Linked DNA regions of Mus musculus: regions 1, 2, 3, 4, 5 and 7 are each reported to be linked to region 6. The links are microRNA targets in miRTarBase. Many come from high-throughput screens and were not tested one by one. Region 6 holds a microRNA gene; each other region holds the end of a gene's coding sequence. Distances are between the middles of the regions.
The links. Region 6 holds the annotated microRNA mmu-miR-10b-5p (UACCCUGUAGAACCGAAUUUGUG, at 1,466-1,488, shown strand). A microRNA usually pairs through its seed, bases 2 to 8, with sites in the 3' UTR of a target mRNA and lowers its output. Matches are read on the target gene's strand: a 7mer-m8 pairs with bases 2 to 8, a 7mer-A1 pairs with bases 2 to 7 and ends in A, and an 8mer does both.

Region 1: the mRNA of Dnajc1 is a reported target of mmu-miR-10b-5p. Seed matches in the 3' UTR shown: 8mer at 518-525.
Region 2: miRTarBase lists Cts8 as a target of mmu-miR-10b-5p. Seed matches in the 3' UTR shown: 7mer-m8 at 2,987-2,993.
Region 3: the mRNA of Ccl9 is a reported target of mmu-miR-10b-5p. Seed matches in the 3' UTR shown: 7mer-m8 at 2,397-2,403.
Region 4: the mRNA of Ajuba is a reported target of mmu-miR-10b-5p. Seed matches in the 3' UTR shown: 7mer-m8 at 2,226-2,232.
Region 5: the mRNA of Fam219b is a reported target of mmu-miR-10b-5p. Seed matches in the 3' UTR shown: 7mer-m8 at 1,570-1,576.
Region 7: the mRNA of Cbfa2t2 is a reported target of mmu-miR-10b-5p. Seed matches in the 3' UTR shown: 7mer-m8 at 2,633-2,639.

What each region holds. Positions count from the first base shown.
Region 1 is chr2:18,214,013-18,218,078 of GRCm38, forward strand. Dnajc1 (DnaJ heat shock protein family (Hsp40) member C1) reads right to left here. Exons shown (of 12, transcript NM_007869.3): 12 at 1-3,313. The coding sequence ends at 3,245. Among named protein-coding and RNA genes, the nearest start is that of Gm39761, 19 kb to the left of the region's middle.
Region 2 is chr13:61,244,637-61,248,695 of GRCm38, forward strand. Cts8 (cathepsin 8) reads right to left here. Exons shown (of 8, transcript NM_019541.3): 8 at 2,111-3,617. The coding sequence ends at 3,518. Among named protein-coding and RNA genes, the nearest start is that of Cts8, 8.7 kb to the right of the region's middle.
Region 3 is chr11:83,572,048-83,576,113 of GRCm38, forward strand. It overlaps Ccl9 (chemokine (C-C motif) ligand 9), which reads right to left. Exons shown (of 4, transcript NM_011338.2): 3 at 3,796-3,904; 4 at 870-3,448. The coding sequence ends at 3,337. Among named protein-coding and RNA genes, the nearest start is that of Ccl9, 4.6 kb to the right of the region's middle.
Region 4 is chr14:54,565,532-54,569,597 of GRCm38, forward strand. It overlaps Ajuba (ajuba LIM protein), which reads right to left. Exons shown (of 8, transcript NM_010590.5): 7 at 3,945-4,013; 8 at 1,938-3,525. The coding sequence ends at 3,400. Among named protein-coding and RNA genes, the nearest start is that of Ajuba, 10 kb to the right of the region's middle.
Region 5 is chr9:57,540,402-57,544,467 of GRCm38, forward strand. Fam219b (family with sequence similarity 219, member B) reads left to right here. Exons shown (of 5, transcript NM_001166364.1): 5 at 254-2,786. The coding sequence ends at 418. Mpi (mannose phosphate isomerase) reads right to left here. Exons shown (of 8, transcript NM_025837.2): 8 at 3,867-4,066. Among named protein-coding and RNA genes, the nearest start is that of Fam219b, 4.9 kb to the left of the region's middle.
Region 6 is chr2:74,724,609-74,728,674 of GRCm38, forward strand. It overlaps Mir10b (microRNA 10b), which reads left to right and starts at 1,462; the gene lies at 1,462-1,529. The region is part of intron 1 of Hoxd3 (homeobox D3); the gene reads left to right. It overlaps Hoxd4 (homeobox D4), which reads left to right. Exons shown (of 6, transcript NM_010469.2): 4 at 855-1,370; 5 at 2,268-3,097; 6 at 3,654-4,066. The coding sequence starts at 2,671. The coding sequence ends at 3,979.
Region 7 is chr2:154,534,704-154,538,764 of GRCm38, forward strand. It overlaps Cbfa2t2 (CBFA2/RUNX1 translocation partner 2), which reads left to right. Exons shown (of 11, transcript NM_172860.2): 11 at 181-4,061. The coding sequence ends at 477. Among named protein-coding and RNA genes, the nearest start is that of 1700003F12Rik, 12 kb to the right of the region's middle.

The DNA.
Region 1 (4,066 bases), 57 Mb from region 6:
CATGGGCCCCAGGGCTGGCTGATGGGGACAGCAGTGAGGGAAAGAGAGGCAGAGCCAGACATGCTGTTTTCTAGATCGAGGGCCCCAGGAGATTTGTTATCCAGTTACTTCTCACCAGCCTTCTTCGTGCTGCAAACTTGGAATAGCATGAAGTGGCCTGAAGGGGGTTTTCTGGGCTGGGCCACACAACCTGACTCATCTGATTTCCTCAAAACTGCTCTGTAAGACATGGTGACTCCTGGCAAGCATGTATTGCTTTTCTTTCCTTGGTTGCTGCCACAAGAGCAAGCTTCCTCTAGACTTGACATAGCCAGACTCTGTTTTCCCTGTTTCACAGATTAGTGAGGCAATGGTTTAGTCACACAAGGCCATGTAAGCATTGCACAGTAATTATCTGAGGCAGGTAATACCTGTTGACTTTTTTTTGTAGTGCTGTCTGGGATAGTTTCCTGGATAGAGCCAGTGTGGAACTTGAGATTTGTTGGGGTTGAGACCCTTTCCACTACAGCAAACCAGCTACCCTGTTCTTCAGGGCCCCTCACCTGCCCATGCCCTTCCCAGGCCCCAGGATAGGTGAAAACCTGGGTGTGGTGCTGAATAGCTGTCATCCCAGAACTCAAACCATAGGAGGATCTGGTCATCTTTAGCTACAGAGTGAGCTCCAGACCAGCCATGCTGTGGCCTCAGTGAGCTGTCTCCCATAAGTCTCTAGCATTTAAATACTTGGCCTTTAAACAGTCTTGGCTGTTTGGGGAAGACTAGGAGGTGGAAGCCCTATGTGTTGCTTGGCTCACTGCACCAGTATCACATAGCATGATCACAGAACAGAAGTAAGATGTCATAGTACAGAGGGACAAGAGGTAGCAAAGATAGGACCCATGTTAGGACTGGGGATTGGGGCTGATGTGAAGAATTCAGGGGAACACGTGGACATGTTCTGGCATAGAAAAGCAAGTTCGGGTCCCTTAGGGATACTGACCCCCAGTGGCTCTGCTCAGTACCAATCAGTGGCAACTTTGAATACACCGCTTGTTCTCTCTCCCCCTCTTCTCCTGCTCCCCCTCCCCCTTGTATTAGTTGCTTGTCTGTTGCTGTTACAAAACACCATGACCAAAGCAACTTATAAAAGGGTTTATCTGGGGCCTATGGTTCCAGAGTATGAGTCCCTGGTGGCTAGATGGAGGTGGCAGTAGCAGTTCATGGGATGAGTGGCCTACAGGAGCCACAAGCAGCAAAGCTGACTTTGAAATGGCTTTTGGAACAAAGCCAGGTATTCAAATGCTAGCAACTTACGGGAGACATCTCATGAAGACCACCACAGCATGGCTGGCCTGGAACTCACTCTGTATCTAAAGGTGACCTGATTCTCCCACGGTTTGAGTTCTGGGAGGACAGCCATGCAGCACCACACCCAGGTTTATAGGGTGCTGGGGATAGACTCTCAGGGCTTCATGAATGCTGGGAAGTACTCTACTAGTTGAGAGAGTTCCGTCCCAGAATGTGGGGCATTTACTTCTATTCCCATGAAAGAATGTGATCAAAAGAGGACTCATACTGATTTTCAGGATCAGAAAATGCTATGGGTGCAGTACTTGGGTGGACAGTGATGCGAGCAAGTTGGATGTGAGGAGAGGTTCAGGAAACGGATAACGAGCTGAAAAGTAAGTAGTAAGTGGGAGGCCATGTCTGACACCCTTAACGACAGTCCACAGGTACTTACGGGACAGGGCCTCTCTAGAAAACCACTCTTTAACAACATGCATAGTGGCTAAAAGCAGAAGCAGCTCTGCTGGAAGTTGGAGGCTGAAGCCAGAGTGCATCTTTGCCAGGCCTGTTCTTCAATGAGAGGAAGAAGACCATTGGCTTCCTAGGGACTTTGTGTGTGGTTATGCCCATGATAATAGGTCAAATTGCCACCACCTTCAGGAGGCCAGCTGGGTCTGCTTGACAGACTTGGACTCACATCTTGGAAAGGAGGGGTTGGGGAGGGAGTCATGGAACAGTTATGTGAGTAGCCAGGCAACCCCCACTATCCAGCTGTATGCAATTCTGTTCTAATTGCATGTGCTTTAGGGTCTCTGGAAGGTGTTAGACTCTGTAGGTAGGAAGGATTAGGGAAGCTGGCTCCCTCAATGAAGCCTTGGGAAGACACCATCCCTTCCGGCTGCAGACCTTCCAGTGTGGCTGCTTTAAGGTCACCTCTGCTCCAACCCATAAGCCCTCATCCACTGTAAGTAACCCTATATAAACTATATAAGGTTAGCCTGCATGGACTTTGGAGTTGTTGGTTTGTCTTTGAGACCTTAGGCGAAGGGGCAGACATTGAGTTTTGGCAACAGCTCATCACACTGAGAGGCCTTACCTGCTAACAGTAACATACTGGGTACTGAGGTGTCATTGTGTAGAACTGGGCATGACCACAAACAGCACACTGTAGCCAGTGGAGCACATCTCTTGCTTGGCAGCAGTTTGAAGTTTCCTTCTAAAGTTTCAAACAAGGGGCTGGACTGAAGTTCAATTTCCATCACCTACATACATGGTGACTTACAGCCATCCATACAACAGATCTATGGGATCCAATGTCGTCTTCTGGTACACAGACATACACAAAAGCAAAGCATTCTCTCCAAAACACAACAAAACTGAAGAACAAGCCCAAAGCGTTTTCAAGTTTCAAACAAAAGCAAGAAATTCTTTAAAAATTTTAGATCCATGTATTCATGTGCATGTGTCTATGTGGGCTCGGATGTGTGTGCTGTACCACAATATGAATGCAGAGGTCAGAGGACAGCTCCTGTGAACATGTGCTTGCTGGAGAGTGAGTGCAGACTGGCAGGCTTAGCAGTCAGCGGTTTTATCCACTGAACCACCTTCCAGGCTTAAATTTCTCATTTGACAATCAAACTTATTTGCTTTATCTCAAATTCCACCTGGTGCACCTGTTTTTCCCTCCTTCGCTGGCCAACAGAGGACCTCATATTTTTGGCACCACACTCTCCCCTGGAAACACAAGGAAGGCCTGTAAATGGCACCTTACAGCATCTATAATTGATTCATTCTTTCTTTCTTTTTTTCTTTCTTTCTCCCCCCCCTCTCTTTTTCTTTCTTTCTTTCTTCCTTTCTTTTTTTTACTAAGGCACATGATGTTTAGAAATACTGAGGTACAAAATATAAGTTTCTGCATGAGATTTCTCGAGTACTTGTTTGGAAAATGATGGTCATTGATCGTCACCTTCCAGAAGATTCAGCTTTTAGCCTGCTTTTTCTTTTGGACCAGTTCAACCAGCAGCTTGTATCTAGCAATGCAGTCTTCCTGTGGGAAATAAAGAAAGAGGTGGTGACAGTTCTTTCTTGGGTCAGTGCTCCTGGTGCTGTCAGCTCGCTGTGACCTCTCTGCGAGTTACTGCCCAGTCCTAATGAAGAAGCCTGTGTTCATTTCCTTTACAATCTTCTGGGAAAGCCTAGTTGGTCCCAGGCAGACCTGGTCAGAGAAGATCTGCTGCAGGAATAGCTGAGGGTTGCCTATGGAGTGCAGTGTGGCGTCCCCACTCAGCTTGCTAACCCTTCTACCATGGGAACTCCCTCTCATCACATCCCAGTCCAGAGAATCCAAGAAACCTGGGGCTACAATGCTCTCATGCTTTGCTCGTGCTTCTCCCTGGTGGCTGCTGGGACCTTCCTATGCAGCACAGAACTAGCATGGACGGTACCTCATGGAGTGGGAAAGGTGGAGAAGATGGAAGGAAGTGGCCGCTATTTTCAGGTGGGCATGATATATATTTTAGAATCTATTCTCTTCCTGTCTAGATGATACCAACCCTATGGTACTGTAAGCATGTTAGTTCAGGGTCCAGGGCAAATGACTGCTGTGCTAAACAGTGTCCTTAATCAGGTACCCGGGACAGGATGGGTGCATCAGTGTAGGATGAGCATCTTGTGGTGAGTGCCTCCCTACATTCCACCATCACCCACCCATGCCTTCAAAGTATTAGCACAGAAACAGCCATGGCCACTCAGCATTCAGCCCTCAACAGGACAGTGTGGGTAGTGCTGAAGGCTGAGCAGG
Region 2 (4,059 bases), not on the chromosome of region 6:
AGAAGGGAAAAAGAGGAGAGAATTGAAAAGAGCTAATACCTGGGAAATGAATGGCTATCTTAAGAGCCGTCCCAGTGAATGCTGTCCAGTAGAAATGCAATCTAAGCCAGGGTCATGTTTTCATTCTGAACAGAAAGGCCACATACAATAGGAATAATCTCAGAAATAGAGGCTTCCACTATGGCACTCTAAATTCTGTAAGCTAAATAATTAGAATAATTGATGATGACATCTTTACGATGCATGATCATGAATCTTTCCATATTATTGACTTCAATGCCCAGAAAAAGGAGCAGTTTGGTTAGGACACATCAAGGATAGATAAAAGGTTTGTAGATGCTTTTTCTGGAGAATAACCATTGTATTTGCATGGCTAGTATGGGTAAACTCTGAATTGAAGGGCCTTTAGAGATCTCAACTCAGGATTGATTCTTATTGTTGATATGCCTTTCCTGTCATTATTACATATTGTAATGATTCTTGCACATTAGCCCACAATACTAGGCACATTTATTGAGACTACTTAGCCTAGATGTTTATAGAAAAGTCTCTCTATGCAATATAGCTTCTCACAGTTCTAATATGCAGTCCTATGTTGAAGTTTTGTTTGTTGCTGTGTACTGTAATGCTGAATTCTGTATCCTAAAGTCTAGCTACCTCAAGATGACTGAATTCCCATGTATGCCAGCTTTTGTTTTGCACACCTTGATCCCCAATTTAAAACTATTGGTTGAATTAAAATGCCTACAGCCTGCAACTGAGCAGAAGAAAAGTAGACATGGCTTCAGTTTTTAGGCTTGGGATATGAGGCAGAGGCCCCCACGAAGAAAGGGAGAAAGGGGGAAGAAGGAAGAAGATACCCTGGGGAAGGGGGATAATGAAAACATGGTCATAAGGGCCTACCAGTTCGAGTAGGAGAGGTCTAGAGAGAAGATAGAAAATTATGTATCTGGCTTATTGACAGGGAAGTAGATAAAATAGCATAGTGCTATTAAGTGCTTTTAAGGCTTAATATAATATATAAATATAAAGGTTTTGTTTCTTTTATTTGGGAATTAAATGATCTAATATAGGGTAGAAAACCTCAACTAATATTTAGCAGAGCATTCCTAAACAAGAACCAGCATGTTCCATGACTGAAGCAGGGGGAGGGAGGAGGGGGGAGAAGGGAGAGGATAGGGGATTTTCGAAGGGGAAACTAGGAAAGGGAATAACATTTGAAACGTAAATAAATAAAATATCTAATAAAAAAGAAAGAAAGAAAAAAGCCTCTAGAGAGCATGTTACCAGACTCACCAAATTGAAACAAAATATAATGTTCTAATTATGTCTGTAGGAAATTGTCAGATATCACAAAAACCAAGGCTTAGCTGGATCATATCTCTGTCTATAATCATCAGTTATAAGCCAACATGTTTCTATTCCCTAATCAAGAAATAAAGTCATATTTTAAAGGAGCTTGGGTTGTAGTCAACCCCTACCAGACATGCCTAGTACATGTGTAGGAGTATCTCTTGCTGGGAGCGCAGTGGCATTGAGATAGTTGCTTTAAATAAACTCTCTATCAAAATTTCCAGGCATAGACATTCCTATGATGTAATCTGGTATAACAAAGCCAATACCACCATAAACTTCGATTTGGCAAAAGTTATCAATCTATATGGTGAGGGACCCATTTTTCTGACCTCATCTAATGTATTCTCCATGTAGTGAAGGTCACTAGAAACACTCATTTGTCTCTAAAATGAAACCACTGGAAAGCTAAAATAAGAAAACACTAGGCTCATCATCTCTTATATACTCTGGATACATTTTAAAATCTACATTAGATTCTAGTACAAAATAAGTACTAAACTATGTATGTGTATATTTGTGTGTTCCATTATAGACATATATGAATGTACACAATGTGTGTGTGTGTGTGCCTGCAATAATTTTCTCTATATATCTCTATATCTATATCCATATCCCTATCTATCTATCTATCTATCTATCTATCTATCTATCTATCTATCTATCTATCTTTCTATCTATCTGTCTATGACAAAGTTCAGTGCATCTGATAACTAAATTCAAACATTAACAACAAAAAATAATACAACAGAACATTGATTCTAGGAGGTTTTATTTAAAAGGCATGTTTCAGCTCTCTTGCCTCTGAGACACTAAAACTTCTGAAAGTGTCATTTGAATAAAAATCTGTAACTGCAGATCCAGTTTTGCCGATGTCTTCAGTACATTCACAATGAAGATGCTACACAGGATGGAAGTAAGGCAAGGGGGATTCACAGTGATAGTCGATACACAAAATCTAATTTAACACACACATTACTAAAGATGGAAAATTGACAATAACAAAAGAGCCACCCTTCTTTCTCTAAGAACATCAACAGAACACAAATGTATGTCTTTATACTGAGTTATTAATGTGACAACAAAATTAATATCCTGTAGCTCATTACCTGGCAGTGGGAACTCTAAAGTTGTTCCTTATTCCCAGCTGATAAGGCTATTGATGTTGTCATTGTACATATATTGTTTAAGCAACAATTTTTTGGACATACAGTCTCCTTGTATATTTCATGATCCTTTGTCTCTAAGTCATTCTGCCCTATCTTCCACAATATTCCCTGAGCCTTACATGCAGGAGTTATGAATACTAAAAGGAGAATGAGCACTCCCAGGGGTGAACCCCTGATCAACTACCTAAACAATGTGATTAGTCCTAAAGTCTTGAACATAGAAGGAACAAAAATTGATTCAGCCTTCAGCTGGTTTCATTATATATTCACAAATATATACATATACACATATACGTATATATAATGAAAATCACCAGAGAATAAGAAACAATCAATTTAGCCTGGCGGTGGTGGTGCATGTCTTCAATCCCAGCACTTGGGAGGCAGAGGTAGGTGGATTTCTGAATTTGAGGCCAGCCTGGTCTACAGAGTGAGTTCCAGGACAGCCAGGGCTATACAGAGAAACCCTGTCTCAAAAAACAAAAAAAAAAACCAAAACCAAAACAAACAAACAAAACAACAACAACAAAAAAACCAATCAATTTGAGACTAGATGAGAGTGGGGAATATGTGAGGAGGTAGGGAGGAAAAGTTGTTGGAGGAAAGAAATAAATGGGTTAATATAATTATATTTTAACTAAAACATATATTAAATGAAATGAACTACATACAATTTAAAAGTCACTACTTTCAAAACAAAAAGAAGACAGACACTTCATTTGAACTTAAATATTCTTTAAAGATATTGTTTTATACAATCATTAAACAAACACAAAATCAAGTTATGGGAATCAAATACAAATAAGTGAAGTGCTTAAGTTACAGTATCCATCATGTCTTACTGGATAAAAACATAACAGAATTCACATTACATCACGTTCTGCAGTAACTCATGAACTCTATCCATGCAGCAGAGGCTGGTCATGGTAAACAGAAAGTGCCTCCACTTCACAGGCTGTCTCCATTCCAACCCTTCCTTCTTACCATCAGGCAGTTTACACTCTGGGGTAGACGGCATATGAAGCAATTCCACAGTGGTTGTTCCTGCCTCTGGCAAGCTTCATGTAGCCATTCATGCCCCATTGCTCACCATGACTGAAAGAAACCATGTATCCCATTTAGTAGAAAGAACACAGGACAGTGCACTCAGTACAATAACTCCACGTGTAACCACTGATCCAGAAGCCTACTTAACTCCATGATCAGAAAATGCAAAACATCCAACTCTGAGAAACCAAAGTTATCTCAGAAAGGACTGTGCAAATCACAGCAGTGAAAACTCAGGATATTTTTCCACCCACAGAACCAACAATATCTCAGCTTTTAGAAAAATCAGTGTCACAAACATATTACTACTCAAGGAAACCAGTGCCTAAATCTGAACAACACACATACTATAAGTTGATTACCCAGCCATAGTGTTCAAAGGTTCAAGTGGTGTTCACAAAAGAGAAAAGACTGGAGTTCAATCCAAGATTCCACCTGGGGCTGGAGTTGGGTCTGTGCCTAAGAACAAGGGCTTTTTCCACAGAAAGCT
Region 3 (4,066 bases), not on the chromosome of region 6:
CATCCTTTTAGTATCTTACCTTAAATACCGATTGATAGTCTCTTAGTTGATGTTAAAGAAATTGGAAGAAAGCACAAATGTGTTTTTAGCAAAATAAAACAGAAGTGCTTATGTCTCTTATAATCCTGCAACTGAGCCGTGGAATTGGTGGTGCTGGTCCCAGGGTTGTGATCTGCCTGGTCGGGAAGCTAGTGTCACCATCAGTGTCACAGAGTAAACCCTTTCTTTTACTTGCCTGTAACCCTAGTACTGGGTTTGAAGCTCCAGAAGGGAGTAGGAACATGGTCAGACAGGGAATTGAATGTCCCTGGCCTGCGTCCCACAGGGGTGAGGGAGAGAGTTTGCCTTTGTCATCTTGTGCAGAAAGAGGAAGTTCAAGAGTATACTCTAGCCAAACAAAATACAAGCTAAAGAAAGAGGGAAGCTGTGGGCTGCCTATCGTGGGGGAATGAACGCTGGCATGTAATGCGGAGGCGTTCCAGCATGACGGGCAGGTCCACCATAATTCCTCTGACTTGAATAGAAAGTTAGGAGGTCTTGGAAGAACTTTCCCTAGAATGAAGTAGTTACCGTGAAGCCAATGGTATGACTGGAAACATGGAATAATACTAAAACAAACCCCAGGATTCTCTGTTGGCTAGTAGAAAAAATTGTGGGGAAACCAACATCCATATGAGATTTTTTTGAGGGATCAAGTGGGCATCAAACTACAACAGTGTGATTTAAGCAAAAGTCCCGAGTTGGTTCCCCAAATCTGTTGTGGTTGGCCAGTGGCCCACATGTCTGGGTTCTAGTCTGGAAGGCATCTTGGAATCTGGAAGAGAAGAGGGAGCTAGGCGGCTCGAGAAAGATGGAACCAAGACAACCGTCTGACCAAGGTTCAATTTTACTATTCCAGACACTGGGTTATAAAAAGGGGGAGGGGCCCATTCCCGCCAAATCATCCTAGGAGTCCAGTTGCAGGTGACCACGTGTTGGCTCAGGAACAGCTAGGTGGCAGGCAGCCGCAGTGGGAGTGGCAGAACGATAGGGCGGTAGGTCCACCCCACGCTCTCTTCCTGCTAACAGTGAAACCTGAGCAGCCAGGTTTCAGGCTAGGGGGAGAGGTTACAAATGAGGACTAAGAAAAATCTGTTTTCTGAAATCATAAAGAGCTTCATTCCAGACTTGCAGGGATGTTCAACATACATAAATCAGTAAATGAGATCCACTGTATAAATGGACTCAATTCAAGAAAGCAGAAAGTAGATTCAGAAAATGCCTGTGGTGAAAACCAACAGCTCTTCATTATTAAAGCCCTGAAGACAACAGAAATACAAGGAACGTATTTCAATACAATAAAGGAAATATACAACAAGCCTGTAGCCAACGGAATGCTAACCGGAGAAAAACTGGAAGCATTTCTGCTAAAAATCAGGAAAGGGACATGGATACTTTCTCTCAGTACTTCTTTTCAGCTGAGTACTTGAAGTTTTTGCTACAGCAGTAAGGCAAGAGAAGGAGACAAGATGGATTCAAACAGGAAAGGAAGAAGTCAAGCAATATTCATTGGCAGATGATATCATTCTTTCTCTCTCTATAAAAGGCCCTAAATGCTACACTAGAAAACTCGTAGAGCTGATAAACACTTTCAGCCAAGTGTCAGGACACGATCTGCACATACAAAAAAACCAATAGTCTTCCTATAAGCAAATGACAAACATACTGAGGAAGAAATTGGGAGGAAAATCCCACTCTCAATACCTGCAAAATAATATCTTGGAATAAACCTAATGAATAAAGCAAAAGGCCTATACAATGAAAACTCTAAAACAATCAAAGAAGACCCAGAAGATGGAAAGACCACCTATGCTCATGGTCTAGTTTAATATTTTGACAATGGTCAGCTTATCAAAAAAAATTTATAGATTCATTGCAATTCCCATCAAAATTCCAATGCAATTCTTCACAGATTTTGAAAATAACAATCTTAAAATTCATATGGAAACACAAAAGATCTTAGGTAACCCAAACACCCCTGAACAATAGAGACACTGCTGAAGGGATTATCATACAGAGCCACAGTAAAAAAACAGCATGAGACTGGTATAAAAACAAGCTGACCAAGTTGAGATCCTCGAATAGAATTGAGGATCTTATCGAACAGGGAGAACTTCCAAAGATTTGTAGATCACTTTAATGATTCTCTCTATAGTGGGTAAAATACATCCTTGATATGAAGTCTACATTGGAATAAACTATATTTCTGGAAATTTAAAAATTGTACCATGGGCCGGGTGGTGGTGGCGCACGCCTTTAATCCCAGCACTCGGGAGGCAGAGGCAGGCGGATTTCTGAGTTGGAGGCCAACCTGGTCTACAGAGTGAGTTCCAGGACAGCCAGGGCTACACAGAGAAACCCTGTCTCGAAAAACAAAAACAAACAAACAAAAAATTAAAAAAAAATTGTACCATGATATCTTTTGTTTTGAAGAAAATATTCAAAGTTACCTGACTCCCTCTGTTTCTTTTCCACTGCAGATTCAATAAAAGCGAGTGAGATGCTTTCTCCCTAACAGCCCAATTTCAGCCCATAGTCCTAGGAAACTGAAGCAAAAGAGGCAGACAGACCTGTGGCTGCATAGATGCACTTTATTAGTGGCTTACTGATGGAGGGGTGGTGGGAAAATCAGCTGGGTCCTTACAAACACAGACATACTACTGGGCTAAGGCAGAATTTATTTCATCCTAGTTGAATGTACCTGGGTTGCCATAAGTGACTATCAGAACCAGACACATTCCAAAGTCCCACAGACCACTCTCACAGTTTATCCACTTAAAATCCGCTGGGAAACCGAGTGGAAGAACTTGAGTGATTCTGAGGCAGTTAGGATGGCTGTAGCTCAAGATGGTCATGTCAAGGTGAATTTATAAAGAATACTGTAAATACTACTAACTAAAGGGCAAAATAGGGCATCAGTTTTCTTTGGAATTGGAATTATAGATAGTTTGAGCTGCCATCTAAGTGGGAATTGAACCCAGGTCCTCTGGAAGAGCAGCAGGTGCTCTTAACCACCAAGCCATCTCTCCAGACCTTGCCCATTTATCTCAATCAAATATTATGTGTAGTCATTGAGGTCAGCTTCAGACCTTCCAGGCATCTGAGTTTTCAGATGACTGGGGTTGGCACAGACAAGTTTCCCCTCTGTGACAAAGCCAGATATGCCACTTTAAAGTGGAACAGAAAAAAAAAATGTTTATATACCTATAAAAATAAACACTTAGAGCCACTTAGGTGGTCACTGGGGAAGACCAAAGAAAGTAGCTGGCAGTTCACACCCTTCTCTTCAAGCAAATGTTATTGTTTGTAGGTCCGTGGTTGTGAGTTTTGCTCCAATCTTTCAATGCATCTCTGAACTCTCCGATCACTGGGGTTGGCACAGACCTGGAACCCCCTCTTGCTGATAAAGCTGAAGAAAAAGGAGAAGAAAGATTATAATCAGAGTTAATCTAGTAAAGGGGTGGTGGGAGCCCCATCCTCTGAACCTTCTGATTTTCCACTCAACAGTCTGTTCTTTCCAGGAGGTAGCTCAGCACCATCATCCCCTCTCTGGGGCCCCCTCTAGACCTGTGAGGGTCTCTAAGGACTCATGGAGTGACTCTGCTAGCTGTTTCCTTCTCTACACCCTGAAGTATCCCCCCTCCCACCTGGTGAGATCCAAGAATGGGTCTTCTCTGGAAGTCTATCCACCAGGCCATCTAAGATCCTGGAGGCTCCCCCTCCCCATAACACACAATGAGTGAATTTGACACTTACATGATGCCCGGCCTGGTACACCCACCACTGGTGGGAAAATAACCTATAAATCTTGAACACTGAATCCGTGAGTTATAGGACAGGCAGCAATCTGAAGAGTCTTGAAAGCCTGCAAGAAAACAAGGGGGCACTCAAAGGCCAGGTCATTGCTGGGGTGATGGTCCCATGGGGGCATAAGAAGGCCCCGGGACTCAGGGGAGGCTTCCCCTCACCCTGCACTCATTGTCATCTCTTTCTGCACCTTTGAGTGGGCCTAACGTGGACCACAATC
Region 4 (4,066 bases), not on the chromosome of region 6:
ATTCAACACACAGTAAAAAGAATTTGCTGGGGTTGGGGATTTAGCTCAGTGGTAGAGCGCTTGCCTAGCAAGCCCAAGGCCCTGGGTTCGGTCCTCAGCTCCGGAAAAAGGAAAAAAAAAAAAAAAAGAATTTGCTGGGCCAGCAAAATGGCTCCATGGGTAAAGGCATTTGACCAGAATTCAAGAGGGTATACCTCTGACCTCTAGATGCAGGTGGCGGTAGGTAAATTCCCCTGCCCCATAAATAAATAATTGTAAAAAGAAAATTTAAAATAGAACCAGGCAAGCCGGGTGTGGTGGCGCACACCTTTAATCCCAGCACTTGGAAGGCAGAGGCAGGTGGATTTTTGAGTTCGAGGCCAGCCTGGTCTACAGAGTGAGTTCCAGGACAGCCAGGGTGATACAGAGAAACTCTGTCTTGGGGGGGGGGGGGGGGATGACAAAAAAACAAACAAACAAAAGAAACCAAACCAAACAAAACCAAACTACCTGGCAATGGGTGGTGGTGGCACCCTCCTTTAGTCCCAGCACTCAGGAGGCAGAGGCAAGCAGATCTCTGTGAGTTTGAGGCCAGCCTGGTCTACAGAACAAGTTCTAGGACAGCCAGGCTACACAAAGAAAATGTCTTGAAAAACCAAAAATAAAAATAAAAAAATAAGGGGCTCGAGGTTAAGAACACTGACTGGTCTTCCAGAGGTCCTGAGTTCAATTCCCAGTACCCACATGGTGGCTCACAACCACCTGATTCTCTCTTTTGGTATGTGTGAAGACACAGCACTCATATAAAATAAATAATTAATAAATCAAATGCTTGATGGTACTGGAGAGATGGCTCAGTAGGTTAGAATTCTCACTACTTCTGCAGAGGATGAGTTCAGCTCCTAGCACTCACACAAGGTTACCTCCCACTGCACGTAACTCCAGCTCCTGGACGGAGGGCCTGACAGATAGCCTCCTTTAGTCTACTTGGACAACTATGCATACACATGACACTGACACACATACACACACAAACACAGAAAGAGAGAGATTGATTTAAAACAAGGGCTAGAAAGATGGCTCAGCAGCGAAGAGCACTAGTTGAGTTTTCAGGGGACCCAGGTTGCATTCTCAGCATCTATGGCAGCTCACAGGAAGGAGTCTGTAGCTCCAGTACCAGATGATCTGAGAACCTCTTGTTCAGAGAGCTCCATGGGCACATGATGCACTTAAAGGCAAAACATTCACAAAATTTAAAAAAAAAAAATTTTTTTAAAAATATTCTCAAACCACTTTTTGAGTTTTAAACAAAATGTTTGATCAATGTTTATTCTCCCCATCATCTGCCTTTGATCCTTCTGCTTCCTTGCTTGCTGGCTTGGTTTGTTTTGTAGCTCAGGCTGCCACATAATTTGCTAGTAGAACAGGCTAGCTTCTAATCCAGAGACCCACTTGCCTCTGTCTCCCAAGTGCTGGGCTTAAAGGTGTGTGCCACCACTGCCCAGCTTCTTTTCTTTTCCTTTGTTTTCTGTTTGTTTGTTTTCTGCTTTGGGGGTTGTTGCTGTTGATTTGGGTTTTTGAGACAGGGTTTCTCTGTGTAGCCTGGGTTGTTCTGGAGCTCATTCTGTAGGCCAGGCTGGCCTTGAACCCACAGAAGTTCTCCTGTCTCTGCCTCTTGAGTGCTGGGATCAAAGGTGTGCTTCTGCACTCAAGAGACCCTGCCCATGTAATTCCCAGAATGGCTGGCACAGTTTTAGAATAACCCTCAAGGGTGGGTCTTCTGTCCTCAGGTCAGTCATTTCCAGACTCACTTGTTTATGACACAATCACATTTTAACAATGTGAATGGAGAAGCCAGACCAAGGCGAATCCATAGAGCCCCTTTACATCTTCAAGGCATAAGGCTTCAAGGATTGAAGCCATAGTGAACAGCAAAGAAGAACCACAATACACTCACAAAGTGTCTGCATCAACTGTATTTACTGCTAGAATTTCAACTTTTTCTTTCTTAAGTGTCAGAGAAATAATGGCATAGTAGGAAGACACCCAAGGAGGCAGGGAACATTTGTATCACAAAGTGCCACAAAGTTGATAAATGTAGGTTGCTAATAACTCTGAAGTAAGCCAGGCGTGGTGGCGCACGCCTTTAATCCCACGCTTGGGAGGCAGAGGCAGGCGGATTTCTGAGTTCAAGGCCAGCCTGGTCTACAGAGTGAGTTCCAGGACAGCCAGAGCTATACAGAGAAACCCTGTCTCGAAAAACCAAAAACCAAACAAACCTCTGACATACTCTTGATGAACAGGCAGGAATCACTGAATGCTCAGTGCAATGAAAAGAACAAAACATGTAGGCAGCTATAAGAACACTCAGTAGGGGACAGGACTCTTGGCAACCTGGTCATCAAATGAACTTGAGTTCCAGCCAGCAAGTGACCTGGCTTTAAGACATCCTGCTTAAGGGGAATTCAAGTTTCAGCCAAGCGGCTAGAACCAAGTCAACCTATTTTTCTTCTCTCCAGCTTCCCCAATGCCTTGAGTGGTGGGGTTGTAACAGGTCAGATCCAATGCAGGATCCCTTTTAAAAAGGGGTCTCAAAAGATAGGCTACTGCTAGGGAACTAAGCGTAAGTCACCTGAGAAAAGAGGAGTAGGGAGGGAGGTGCACAGGCACACGTGGCTACAATGTATCCACATATGCTGGGCTACAGGCTCAGTGCACTTAAACAGGGGGAGTGGGGCTAGCCTGATGCTTCAGGGACATCCTACTCACCGGCAAGTTTCACATCCAGAAACCTGCTCATTTCTTCCCCCAGAAGAGCAAAACAGCAACCAGGGACAGGCCCCAGTTAGCCTCCCCAGGTCCCTGAGAAACAGGCAACACAGGCAGCAAGGTCCCCCAGAGCTGGTCCCAGTCCCAGCAGACAGACACGGGGAGCTCTCTAGTCCTTAGGGAGAGAGCCAAGAAATGGCTCATCACAAAGTCCAGGGCTTCCAGCCCTTAGCGCAGACAAAGATAGGATCCCGTGGGAAAGGTTCCACTGACTCCATGCATAGGGTACAACAGACTGGGGGTGGTTTCTGTGATGCCCTCATGTGATCCAGCACCAGAACATTGTGTGACGTATATAGAAACATACACTGGAAAAATACATTATAATCTGGCGTTCAGGAAGTACTGAAACCCGCCTGCGTGTGCTACATCCCATCTACTGTAGCACAGGCTGCACGCAATGAACACCAGTCAACTCTCCCGGCAACCAGAAGGTTCCTCCTCCGCAGCCCATTTGGAATGTTAGGATCTTTGGGTCTCTGGCCTTCGGGGCCTCCCCAGAGACCTCTTCACAAGGATTGCAGAATACACTCCTTGCCTCCGCTGGCCAGAGAGTTTCTCCACAGTGGTGGTGGCAGCAGTAACGTCAGCTCAGATATAGTTGGTAGAGGGCTGCCGGGCACTGAGGCGCTGCATGTGACAGCCGTGGCAGAGCAAATGTCCATCAAGAGGGAAACAGCAGCAACCTTCCTCGTCACTCAGCTGCATGCGGCAGTCCTAGGGAAGAAGGCAACTGGTTCACTTCCACCCAGGCTCCCTACCCTGAGGCCATCCTGGGAGACTCCGGGTGACTGGACAAGTGAGTGGTAAGGCCCCAGGGAGGGTGAAGGGTGAAAGGGTGGACTTGAAGTGAAAACCCGAGAAATACTTCTTCTGGACACCAGGGGTCGCTGCAGCAGCAGAAATCATGAGACAAGCCCCATTCCAGCAGTTCAGAGGCTGGGGAAGCCAGATTCCAGATTTAAAAAGAACTAGGATTAGAAAGAAAAGCTAGAGGACAAGAGAGACTGGACATAGGTCACTGCAGTGTCCTGGTTTTCTGTATCCTAAATCCCTCCCACAGATGCCCAGTCATTCCAAGAATCCCCCTTCCAAATTCCGATTTCCCCACATCATCCCCGAACCCCAACACTTACCTCACAGTGGTAGCACTCAAAGTGATAATCACGGTCCATGGATATCACCCTCACAATGTCCTCACAGCCCTGAAACACGTAGAGTCCCATGGGGGATAAGCAGAGCATGGTGTCCCCAAATC
Region 5 (4,066 bases), not on the chromosome of region 6:
ACAGAGGACAGCCCCATATTCTTCAATCTTGATATGGATATCTGGGTGACAGATTTTTAAAGAGAAGCCTGGCTGGTTCTCAGTGAGCCTCTGGGGAGTTCCTCACTGCTGGAAAGACACTGCACAGAAAGGGCCGTCCTTCTGTAATGCAGGATGTGCAGAGGCCTGGGGCTAGGTAGAGCAGGGACCTGCCTTTAGGCAGCAGCTCTGTATGCCTCGCATCCTGTTTTACACTTCTGTCCTCTTCCTTTAGCAGGTGAACCAGGATGTGAGCCGGCAGCTGCTGCAGGATGGATATCACCTGGATGAGATTCCAGATGATGAGGACCTGGACCTCATTCCTCCTAAGCCTATTGCTTCTTCCGCGTGTTCTTGCTGCTGGTGCTGCCTTGGGGATTCTTCCTGTACCCTCCAGTAGCCATAGCCCTCCAGGATGGGCCGATGGCCCCAATGGCCCTTCACAGTGATACTCAGTGCACTGGGTATCACCGCCAGCCTAGAACCACTGGAGGCATTGACCTCTGGGGAGGCCAGTGGCCTACAGGAGCCCTCACCTGGTGCTTCTCATGTCAGAGGCCCCCGTCTGGGTCATAGGTGATAGGTGGAAGTCGGCAGGTTCCCACTGGGGCAGTTTCAGGAAGCCACTTTAATAAGGGAGGAGAAACTTCCTGAGGTTCTTATGCTGATTGCTAAGAAAACCATTTACAGACATTCTGACTCCTCCTGAGGAGGGAGAAGAAAGAACGAACTCCTTCACTCAGGCTGTGCTGGGGGTATGGTGAGAGGCAGAGAGCAGCACTTTATGGCTTGCAGGAGGAATCTCAAAGAATACAGCTGGGAAGCGCCAAGTGGGTTGTTCCTTAGGTTACAGCAAGGAATCTAACTTAATGATGGAGTGGGCCTGTGGCTTTCAGAACCTCTGAACTTGGACCATTCTGCTGGCCCTGCTGTCTGGATGGGCTTAGTAACTCTGTTGGCCCTTCCCCTGTTACAAGAGAACTGCTCTGTTGTATATGTTTATTTATCTGTAGTTCCTTGGCATTGGAGAGTTTCTCCGACTTTTTTTTTTTTTTTTGAGGTAAAAATTGGATTGGCAGGAATCTGCAGTTTTTGTTATTACCAGCAGAGGGAGCTGCTGGGAAGTTAGTGCCTTCCTATGTTTAGCTGTGTAAGCTTTTGAGAAGTATTGATGGATGAGAGGTGTCCTGGTGTAGCTGTGTGACTCTGGCCTACATGGAAATGTTTAGACAGGATGGGAAGGGGAGACTTAAGCCAGCTCCTGGACCCCACTTGAGTTGATGAATCTGCAGTGCAAGGAGGCCTTCCCTCTAACAAGGCACATTTCTCTCCCCAGCACAGGGCTCACAGGCTGGTAGAGCACTTGCCTAGCCTGTGCAAGGCTAGGGCTGATGCACAAAACAAAACAAAAAAAAAAGCCTCTGGGAGAACACAGCTAAGCCCCAAGCCTGAGACTCAGTACTAAGCCTCTTCCTGGAATCTAGTTTTCCCAGTCCCCCTCTGCCCGGGTCCTCCTCTTTGGGGTTTTTTTTTTTTTTTTGGTTTTTCGAGACAGGGTTTCTCTGTGTAGCCCCCTGGCTGTCCTGGAACTTACTCTGTAGACCAGGCTGACCTTGAACTCAGAAATCCACCTGCCCCTGCCTCCCAAGTGCTGGGATTAAAGGCGTGCGCCACCACTGCCTGGCCTCTTTGCTTTATCTTACCCAGGTGTGTGGTGAGGCTTGGGGTAGATACGGTTCCCAGCATAAGGGGCGGCAATAGTCAGAGTTAGGGGTTGGGCACCACATGTGACTGTCCGTCCAGTGATTACTGGAGGCTTAGGAGAAATGATATGCCTGCTATGTCCTTTCATAGGTAGTAGCAAAAAAGGTAAGATCAAAAGATAAGGCTTTCCCTATTACTTGGCCACAAATCTGTTCTCATGATTGTTGCCAGTGCCTAGCAGGGGGTTTTGTTGTTGCTCTCAGGCTGTGGAAGGCTGAAAAGAGTATACTATGTCTAGGGGCTTTTTACTCGACTGCTTGGCAGCATCACAAGAAGGAAGATGGGACAGAAGCCAGAGGCACATCTACTTGGTTCTTGGGTTGGGTCATAGATGCTGCCTGGGCTCTACAGTGGGAGTCTGCAACTCTGTGCAAGGATCTCATTCTGAGCACTTTATGTATGGCCTGCAGGGAAGGAACACAGACCATATCCAGGCTTCTAGGGCTCTGCAGAGGTGGAGTCCTCATGTGCAGAGGGAACAGAGATAGTACAGAGTAGAGAAAGACTTGGTGGTAGGGCTCAGTGAGGCCACAAGGGCTTGTGGAACTTAAGTGTGGAGTTCTATTTCTGTTTGGTTAAAACAGAGTAGCCTGGACATTTGGCAGCTCCTGGGGGTGGGCAGTGCCCAAGAAACCACACTCTCTGGGGTAGTTGTACTTGGCTAGAACTGTCCCTGGAAGGAAAGTTGTCGAGCTAGGTGGCCTCGTGTGGAAAAGCATTACTTGTGGAAAAAGCTCAGTAGTGTCCAGCTAGGAGGGATAGAAATGGGCAGCTGTTAGGGGACAGACAAAAATAACACCAATAAAGGCACAGAGGTGCTCACACCCTAACTGCCTTAATTCCAAGGGCTGGGTGTTCTGCGGGAGGCTGTCCCTGGGAAGGAGGGCGTCTGAGCCTCCTCAGGAGTGCCTGTGCCTCCCCCACGTTTGTTTACACTGCCCCTCAGTCCTCTTTCTTGCCTTGCACTTTCATAGTCTGTTATAATAAATGCAGTCCTGGTAGTGAGCTGTACTGTGCTGCAGTGGGTGGCTTGGTTTGGTTTGGTTGGTTTGATACAGTTTTTCTGTGTAACCTTAGCTATCCTGGAACTCACTCAAACTTAGACCAGGCTGACCTCAAATTTAAGAGATCCACCTACCTCTGCCTCCCAAGTGCTGGGATTAAAAGCCAGCTTTGGTTTTTTAATCTTATGTGGGGGGGGGGGGTACACTTAAGTGTGTGTGTACTACATGTATGCAGGTGCAAGAGTCCATAGAAGTCAGAACAGGCGTCAAATCTCTTAGAACTGGAGTTACAATTGTGAGCCACCACATGGGAACTGGGAATGAAACCTGGGTACTCTGCAAAGACAGCAAGTACTTTTTAACTGCTGAATTGTGTCTCCAGCCCCCAATACATAGCACTAGCCTGAGCTGTCTGATAACCTCAACAATACATAAAGGGGCTACGAAGATGGCTCAGTTGTTAAAGTGCTTACCATGCAAGTATGAGGACCTGAGTTCAAATCCCTGAGCCCTCACCCCAAGCACCCAAATAAGAAGCCAAAAGTAGTGGCACACACCTGTAATCCCAGTTCTGAGGAGGTCAAGATGAAGGACCACTGAGACCTGCTAGTTAGTCAGTCTAGCTGAACTGGTGAGTTCCAGGCACCAGTGAGAGACCCTGTCTCAAAAAAAGGTGATGGTTCTTGAGGAGTAACACGCAGGTGCATGTATGTGCACATACATGCCATGTGCACATACATGCCATGTGCACATACATACCATGTGCACATACATACCATGTGCAAACACCAGGGGCCATTAGGAAGCAGAAGCAGAGCTCCAAAGCCAACCTTTGGAACATGAAGACAGTCTCAGAAAAAGTCAACTACAGGAGCAGAAGGCCTCCCTGCAAGCTGTCCAACTGAGGCTGGAGCTGGCTTCCTCTCCCACCCCTTCCTGTAAAAGCATTCTGGAATCCAGCCTGCCCACCCCCACGAAGCTGTATGAAGAATTCAAACCAAACCTGGACATCATCAGAGAGCTCCTTCCTCCCACATCAGGGACAGGCATACCAAAGGCTGACTGCTCTTCACTCTGTATCCTCAACACAAGTGATCTTTAATTACTTTGACGGAGCTAGAGGGAATACGCTTCATTAGTCCACTGGCCTACCCCTTCCCTTCCTTCCCTTCCCTTCCCTTCCCTTCTCTGCAGCTGAGAGCATGCTGAGCTAATGCTGGGGGATGCATGCTTTGTTAGCCTAACACCTCAGCTAGGGCAGAGTGGTTGCCTCTTTGGTG
Region 6 (4,066 bases):
TGCTGGCGCCTTGTAGCTGCCCACAGCACAAAAAGCCGGAGAGATCAAAAGCATTTGTATGGGCAGTTGAGAGGGAGGTGAATATTTAACGCTTTTGTTCATCAATAACTTGTTGGCTTTGACCTGTCTGAACAAGTCGAGCAATAAGGTGAAATGCAGGTCACAATGTCTAACAAATATGAAAATGTGTGTACTCATCTTGGTCCTCACTCAACCCATCGGACTTCCCCAATTTGTCTGGGTAAAACAGAGGTAGGCCCAGTGTCCCCAGAAAGGCCTGTCAACGTGTCCATGGGTGAAAGGGCTGGCATTAGGAGAAACTGGGGAGAGTCTTTAAACAAACGGATTTTAACCCCCTTTTTTTTTTTTAGAACTGACACCTGGGAAATCCCTGCAAAATAGTGGAAGTGAAAGATGGTGGGAGGGCATGGAAGGGCAAAGTACAGGGTCAAAGTGAGCACCTAATTTTGCCAGATATGATGAGGGGAGTCTCCCTGCCCCACCCCATCAAAATCAAGGCATGGGGCTTGAAAGTGATTTTTCGAATTATATAGGAAGGGATCAAAACAATACTTAGAAATGTGGACATCTTCAATCTGTTATCAGGCATCCATAAGCTCGGCCCAGGCCAGGGCATCCCTCTGCCCCTGAAATCAGCCCAGCCCCAGAGTGCATCTGGGCTCTTGATGCCCTGAATTGAGGGGCAAGCCCAGGACAGCGGAGGCGCTGGGGCGGCGAAATTCGCGAACTTTTGTACTCTTCTGTGCTGCTGTCGGCAAAGCAAAAATAATGAAACTTTGTGATATGTTTGTAAATGATTTCGAATGACCCCTCGCCCTGCCCTTCACCATTAGCTCGACAGTCTCAGCCCAGGGAGGCTCGGTGGCCGCAAACAGCGCCTGCCTCCGGGTCTGCAGCAGCAGTCATAGCAGCAGCAGAAGCAGCAGCAGCGGGATCCGAAAGTCCGGCGGGGCTGAGGGCCCAGAAAGGTAAATGCTCGAATTCTAGGAGGACTAGCTGTGACCACTCACTTGGCTTAGGTTCTGGTGAAGACTATTCCTTTTGCCTTTTTCAAAACTCCCTTTCTGCTGCTGAGGGCCTTTGCTTCTTTTTGGGAAATACCACTTGATAAGGGGGCGGGAGATTTGGGTTCTGAGAAGGGGCAATTAAGCCGCCATCTCTGGGGTGAAAAAAAAACTCCCCTTCTTTTCTTTTCTTTTTTTTTTTTTTAAGAAGAAGAAGGTCCTGGCTGCTCAGCTACTTGGTGGCCCCCATCCTGGCAAGCCGATGAGGGAACTCATTGCTGTAGCGAGCAGCAATACTTAGAAATGCACCGAGCCTACCTGCACCATCTCTGAAAGCCAGGCTTGGTGAGTTCCTGGTGGCTGTGCTGAAGAGATCAGGTCTGGCAGCTGCCTGAATGTCTGCTCTGGGTAGGACCCGAGGTTGTAACGTTGTCTATATATACCCTGTAGAACCGAATTTGTGTGGTACCCACATAGTCACAGATTCGATTCTAGGGGAATATATGGTCGATGCAAAAACTTCATATATCTCCGACATGGCCAGAGACTGAGGCGCGGAGAGTACTGGCAGCCCAGCCGGCAAGCCACCTCTTTCTTTTTCATTACCTTAGACTCCAGGATGATCGACTTTGCCTGGTGAAATTGTACAGCCTTTTCCTGGAGAAACTCCTATAGATATTCCAGTAGGTGCTCAAGTGGTTGTCTGAGTGTAAAGCCAGAGAGCCAGGTTTTAGGGTATTAGAGAGTGAGGTGAAAGGCCAGAAAGCTCCAGCAGAAGCCCTGCTCTGAAGGAGCATGAGACACAAAGGTACCCAAATGGGGCTCACCTGCCCTTGTGTGGGAAGAAGACAAACTGAAAGATAGGCCATCGGAGACCGTTGGGGTACATTTAGGCAAGGTTAAGGTCCCCCTCCCCACCATCCCAATATGACCCAACCCCTCAGCCACCAGACTCAGAACTGTGAGGGCCTCCTGCAGAAAGATCCAACTTCAACTAGAAACACCCCAGCCTGCGCATTGGCAGAAAAGCATAGTGGTTACTCATTGCCTAACTCAATTCAGGTCCGCCAGATTCTGGTAACTTTTGGGTGACCCTGATGAAGACAAAGCCAAGACAGGTCTTTGTATGTCAGAGTCCAGGACTCCTGCCAGCTGGCCGGGCAGCCTGCCTGCCTGCCTAGGACTCTACCCAACTCGGAGGCCACATTGCCCACACTCATTCTTCCTTATTTTGCACCCCAGTAGGAGAATTCACTCTTCTTTGAACTATGTCCATTCTGGGGGCTGCTTCAGGCGATGGTGAGTAAGGAGGGCATGGGAGGTTAGCAAAGTCAGTGGAAGACAAAAGCCGAGATTACCTGCCGGAAATTGGGACCCCGGGGATAGAATTAGAACTCTATTAGCATCTGTCAGGGACTCTCAAATGTGGCATGGCAAGTCACTTGATTACACGTATGTTATTTAGTTAAATTTGTGAAAATTATGAGATGCTCACCAACCCGGTGATAAACATGCTTTCTTCCTATTGGCTGGCCTGGTCACATGGCCGCCCAACTTTATTCAGTTGACAGCAAGTAGGAGGGCCCAATGGAAGGAGAAAAAAGACAACACGAGAAAAATTAGTATTTTCTACCTTCTGAAATTAATGGCCATGAGTTCGTATATGGTGAACTCTAAGTACGTGGACCCCAAGTTTCCTCCGTGCGAGGAATATTTGCAGGGTGGCTACCTAGGCGAGCAGGGAGCCGACTACTACGGCAGCGGTGCACAGGGCGCCGACTTCCAGCCCTCGGGGCTCTACCCACGGCCCGACTTCGGCGAGCAACCCTTCGGAGGCGGCGGGCCCGGGCCTGGCTCAGCGCTGCCCGCGAGGGGTCACGGACAGGAGCCGAGCGGCCCGGGAAGTCATTACGGTGCCCCGGGAGAGCGGTGCCCAGCGCCCCCGCCTGCGCCCCTGCCTGGCGCTCGGGCCTGCAGCCAGCCCACCGGCCCCAAGCAGCCGCCCCCCGGGACAGCACTCAAGCAGCCCGCTGTGGTCTACCCTTGGATGAAGAAGGTGCACGTGAATTCGGGTAAGGAGTGGGGGCAGCGACCTCACAGCCCTCCCGCACCACTCCTTGCATCTTTTGGCCTGCACCCCCCACCCCAGGGGTTGCGAATGGGTAGGGGCTTGTGCAGCTTCCTTGGGCGCCGCAATTACTCTCTCCATAAATTTTTATAGCTGAGGGAGCAGGCCGGGACCATGTGGCTGGCTGCTTGGCTGTGGGCGCAAAAGGGGGTGGGGATGGGGATGGGGTGGGGGGAGGACTCCATTTCCACAGCAGAGGGAACGCAGAGCAAAACAAGGACCTTTCCAAAATGTTGGCGATACCGAGCTCTTGGTGGGCCAGTGGCAAGGGAGAACCTTTGAGGAGGACCTGTGAGCGTGGGGAGTGTGTGCATGGAAGGGCTTGGGTGGGAGTGTGTGTATGTTTAGGGAGAGGGCGGGAGGGAGGAAGCTGGCCAGCTTGGAGCACAGGGGGGGCCCGAGGGCTGCGAGACGCGCCAGGAAGTGAGGGCAGAGGCAAGCCTGGGGCCTAACTAGTGGCCGGGCTCTGACCTGGCTGTCTTGTATGTTTTGTCTCATAGTGAACCCCAACTACACCGGCGGGGAGCCCAAGCGCTCCCGGACGGCCTACACCAGACAGCAAGTCCTAGAACTGGAAAAGGAATTTCATTTTAACAGGTATCTGACCAGGCGCCGTCGGATTGAAATCGCTCACACCCTGTGTCTGTCTGAGCGCCAGATCAAGATCTGGTTCCAGAACCGGAGGATGAAGTGGAAAAAAGACCACAAACTGCCCAACACCAAGGGCAGGTCTTCTTCCTCATCTTCCTGCTCCTCTTCAGCTGCCCCGGGCCAGCATTTGCAGCCAATGGCCAAGGACCACCATACGGACCTGACGACCTTATAGAAGTGGGGACCCTGGGCCTATCCCTTCTTGCACTCCAGGTTGAGGCGAAGCTGCGGGTGCAGGCGGGGCCTGCTGTCACCTCACTGG
Region 7 (4,061 bases), 80 Mb from region 6:
CCATGACCCTGGCATTTGGGAGGGAGAGCAGGAGGATCAAGAGTTAAAGGGCATCCTCAGAGACTTACCCACAGGTCTGTAGCGCCACAGTCCTTGCTGTACCATGCAGATGACAAGTGACAGTGGCGAGCCTGCCCATCAAGATGTCAGCAGCCACTAACTGACGCCTGTGTCTTGCAGAACTGCTGGAACTGTGGCCGAAAAGCCAGTGAGACGTGCAGTGGCTGCAACATTGCTCGCTACTGCGGCTCCTTCTGCCAGCATAAGGACTGGGAGCGGCACCACCGCCTCTGTGGCCAGAGTCTACATGGCCACAGTCCCCACAGCCAGAGCAGGCCACTGCTCCCTGGAGGGCGGGGCTCAGCCAGGTCTGCTGACTGCAGTGTGCCCAGCCCAGCCCTGGACAAGACCTCAGCTACCACCTCACGGTCCTCAACACCTGCCTCTGTGACAGCCATTGATGCCAACGGGCTCTAAGCTACAGACTCCACCTGTCCTGATGACCCCTCCACATGGGAGCATGCTTGCACCAGTGAGCTGGCTATTAGAACAAGTAGCTGTTGGGTCGTCAGCAAGAAGTGAAGTTGGCAGGAAGCATCCAAGAGGCACTCCACAGCTTCTCTGGGATTTGCCACGTGTCCTTGGAAGAACTAATGTATCATTCTCTGCACACAGGAAGTAGCTTGAGCTGCCTCCTCCATGGCTTTCCTGAGGTTCCTCTTCCAGCTAAAGCTGGCATAACCAGCCCCTTCTCAGTGTATACACCAGCTCCCTCCGACTCCTTGCATTAGCATATTGTCAATAGTGTCCCACACTGTCCACAGTAGAGGCCTGAAGACTGGTAGCAGGCTTAGGAGGAGGCCCTTCCTTCCCCTGTCTTCAAACAGTTCCTTGAGCCCCATATCCACCCTCGAGTGACACTGATTGGCCTAAAAGAGACTTGGATAGCACAAAAGCAGTACTCAGGACTCTCTCCTGAGCTGCTCAGAGCTGTTAAGATGCTCAGAAATGCAAGAAAGAAGTCACTGTTTCAGTAAAATCTCTAGTAATGATAAAAAATTAAATTAGTCTTCCCAAGCATCATGGATCATTTTGGACAAGATTTTCTAACTTGGCTGTCTTCGTTAGTTTGGAACCCACCTCTTAACTCCAGTGTTTTTCTTGATTTTGCTTGTGTAAAAAATAATCTCCATCGCATGGATCGGTCTGAGAGAGGATGGAGCCATTGTGCTAGTCTTTTCTCTAAGCATGTTGGCCAAACTAAAATATTCCGTGGATCACCTTGGAAATGCAGAGCCTCTGCCACTGCTTGACTGTTTAAAACAGTCGCCTTGTTGTATGTGTCCTTCTCTCTGGGACTGCATGTCTGGATCCTTGGGGATGTCTTGTGAGTAGGTTCTGTTTGGCACCTAAGCAGTGCTCCTAACCCTGATGGGATTATTCGCACCTGGTTTTGACACCACCTCATAGGTTTATTATCAGGTGGACATTTGAGGCATCCTTTTTCTGTGCTCCGTGTTTATAGTCTCCCTCACAGCTCAGAGTTTGTGAAGAATGGGAACCGTTTTTGAAGAGCCTGACCTGTTTTTTTTTTTTTTTTTTTTTTTTCCCATCTTCAGGAACTTTTCCAATTATCTGATTCTCCAAATAGAATTTGGAGACATCGATCTGGTCATTATTGGACCTATTGATCAGGCCAAGTACTGCTCACATCTTTTCCTTGCCATCTAAAGTTTATTAGTTGTCAGCACCTTGCATCGGCCACTCAGTATACTCCAGAATCGTTTTGCCCTGTGCAGTCAATTGGGATAAGTCATTGCCTTTGATCCTGTTGGCTTTTGGAAGCTGTGGTCACTTTTTGTACAATGAACAAGTCTGAAGAACAAGTCTGAATACTAACACTTGCCCCATAAAAGTATGGATTTAGTGTCTTTGCACACAGTTAAGGCTGATTTAAAAATACTGAGTTCCTATCTCATTGGAACAAGGGTTCTCAGACTTAGAAAGTAGACCTTTAAAATCATGTTATTTTAGCATAGAATACCCAAGACCCACTGTTTGCCAGACAGCTTAGTACAGCCTGGCCTCCCTGGTCCCATCCCATCAGTCTAGTGGGGACAACTTTGACTTACTAGATAGAGTTAGTACCAGACAGCACTTGTCCATACTCAGACACAAAACTTCGGGCAGATCAGGAGCTTCTGTGAACATGAGAATGTCTCCTGGTGTGCCCTGGTCAGTTACTCAGTAGTAAAATGGATGAACACCCTTTAAGTGTTAAATTTTTTTGCCACAGAACTACTCCAGATAGTTGGAATAAAGAGCTAGAACCAATACATTACTACTTACCTGGTTGGAGATCAGTTTGTACAGCAAACTGGGTTACAAAATCTAGCCTACCTTTGTGGGCTGTGTGATTGGCCTGTCCGATTCTGAGTTTCTATAGTGCTGTTGGGGACTGCTTTGCTTCTGTGTCCTACCCAGGTTTGTCTACACACTCGGACAGTACTTTACACTATATAGTTCAGTTCTCAGACTTGTCTCTATCTTGCCTCTGGTCAGCATCACTCTCGGGGTTTTGTTTTTGGTTTGGTTTGGTTTGGTTTGGTTTGGTTTGGTTTGGTTTTTCGAGACAGGGTTTCTCCGTGTAGCCCTGGCTGTCCTGGAACTCACTCTGTAGACCGGACTGGCCTTGAACTCAGAAATCCGCCTGCCTCTGCCTCCCAAGTGCTGAGATTAAAGGCATGCACTACCATGGCCCGGCTTCAGCATCACTCTTACGTGACATCTGTTTAGGACTTTTCAGATTTAAGGAGTTCCTTTCTGCAGTTCTCCAACTCCTCCCTAGGCAGGAGCAGCAGCAGTAGGAGCTGGAGCTACAAGTGATTCCTGGCTCACCGCTTTGTTTCTAAGTCTGCTTATATGAGCCACCAGGCTGGGAGTGAACATAGAGCTTCAGGCTGCTCACAAGTCTGGCCTCTGCAGTAACTATTTGAGGAAGAAAAGTAGTCAGGGCTTGGTCATTCTGTACCAAGTGAGGGATAAAATTTCAGGAAGTAAATAACAAAAGTAGCCAAACTGGGAGTTCTGCACACCAGTCCTCGCTCCAGCAAATGAAGACTTGTTGAAGCTAGCTTGGGACATGGCTTATTTGGTAGCATGGACTTCATTCCCAGTGTGGCATACACCAGCCATGGTGGCACATACCTGTAATCCTCTAACACTTAGGAGGTAGAAGCAGGAGGACCAGAAGTTTAAGGTTATCCATAGCTGCATAGCAAGCCTGAGTTACAGGAGACTTATCCCACAGAGACTCATTGAAGGGCCCTGCAGCTTCAGATTGGCTCATGCAGGGAGGTGGAGGTGAGGGCGCAGGCTGTGAGTGGCTTTCTCCTAAGGTGCTAAGTTATGTGCAGCCATGGGTCTCCATGGAATAACCTGTCTGGCCCCCCGAGGTCTATCCAGGCATTGGCTGTCAGTCTTCTGTAATGTAGACTCCTTTACCCATTTGATCCCCAGGGAGTGCTTCAAATCTTGATGTCAGCTTTACCGTCATTTCTTGTCACCTTCTCAGAGAGAGTGAAGACATTTTTTTCTGAGTGGTTCTGGAAACTATCTCAGCAGGTGTGTGAGGCCTCAACACAACTGCAAGTGTGTGTTAGTGGTTCTCCCTAGAGCATAAGGAGTGAGCAGATGGCCTTCGTTCTGAAAACTGCAGACAGGATTGTGGGTTGAATAAACCTTTACAAATAGGACACGTCTTGGAGGCTTACTTCAGAACTGGACTGGAACCAAGGTTTCCAGGCTCCTGGCTCAGGAGACTAAGCCAGTGTACTTTGATGAATGTTAGCTATTTGCAGAGAACTGGGTGGTGGCATGTTTGAACCAAATGTGAGAAAAGCCAGAAGGAACTGAACTGGCCATTGTGGACCAGATGGCCAGCTGTGGAAGATCCTTGATCCAGCAGCTGCTTAGCAGACCCTGGCCACTCAAGTATATTCCTTTAAAGCCAAAATGCTGACTACCTGCTTCTGCCTCATGTTGACACCCATTTCCAAAGA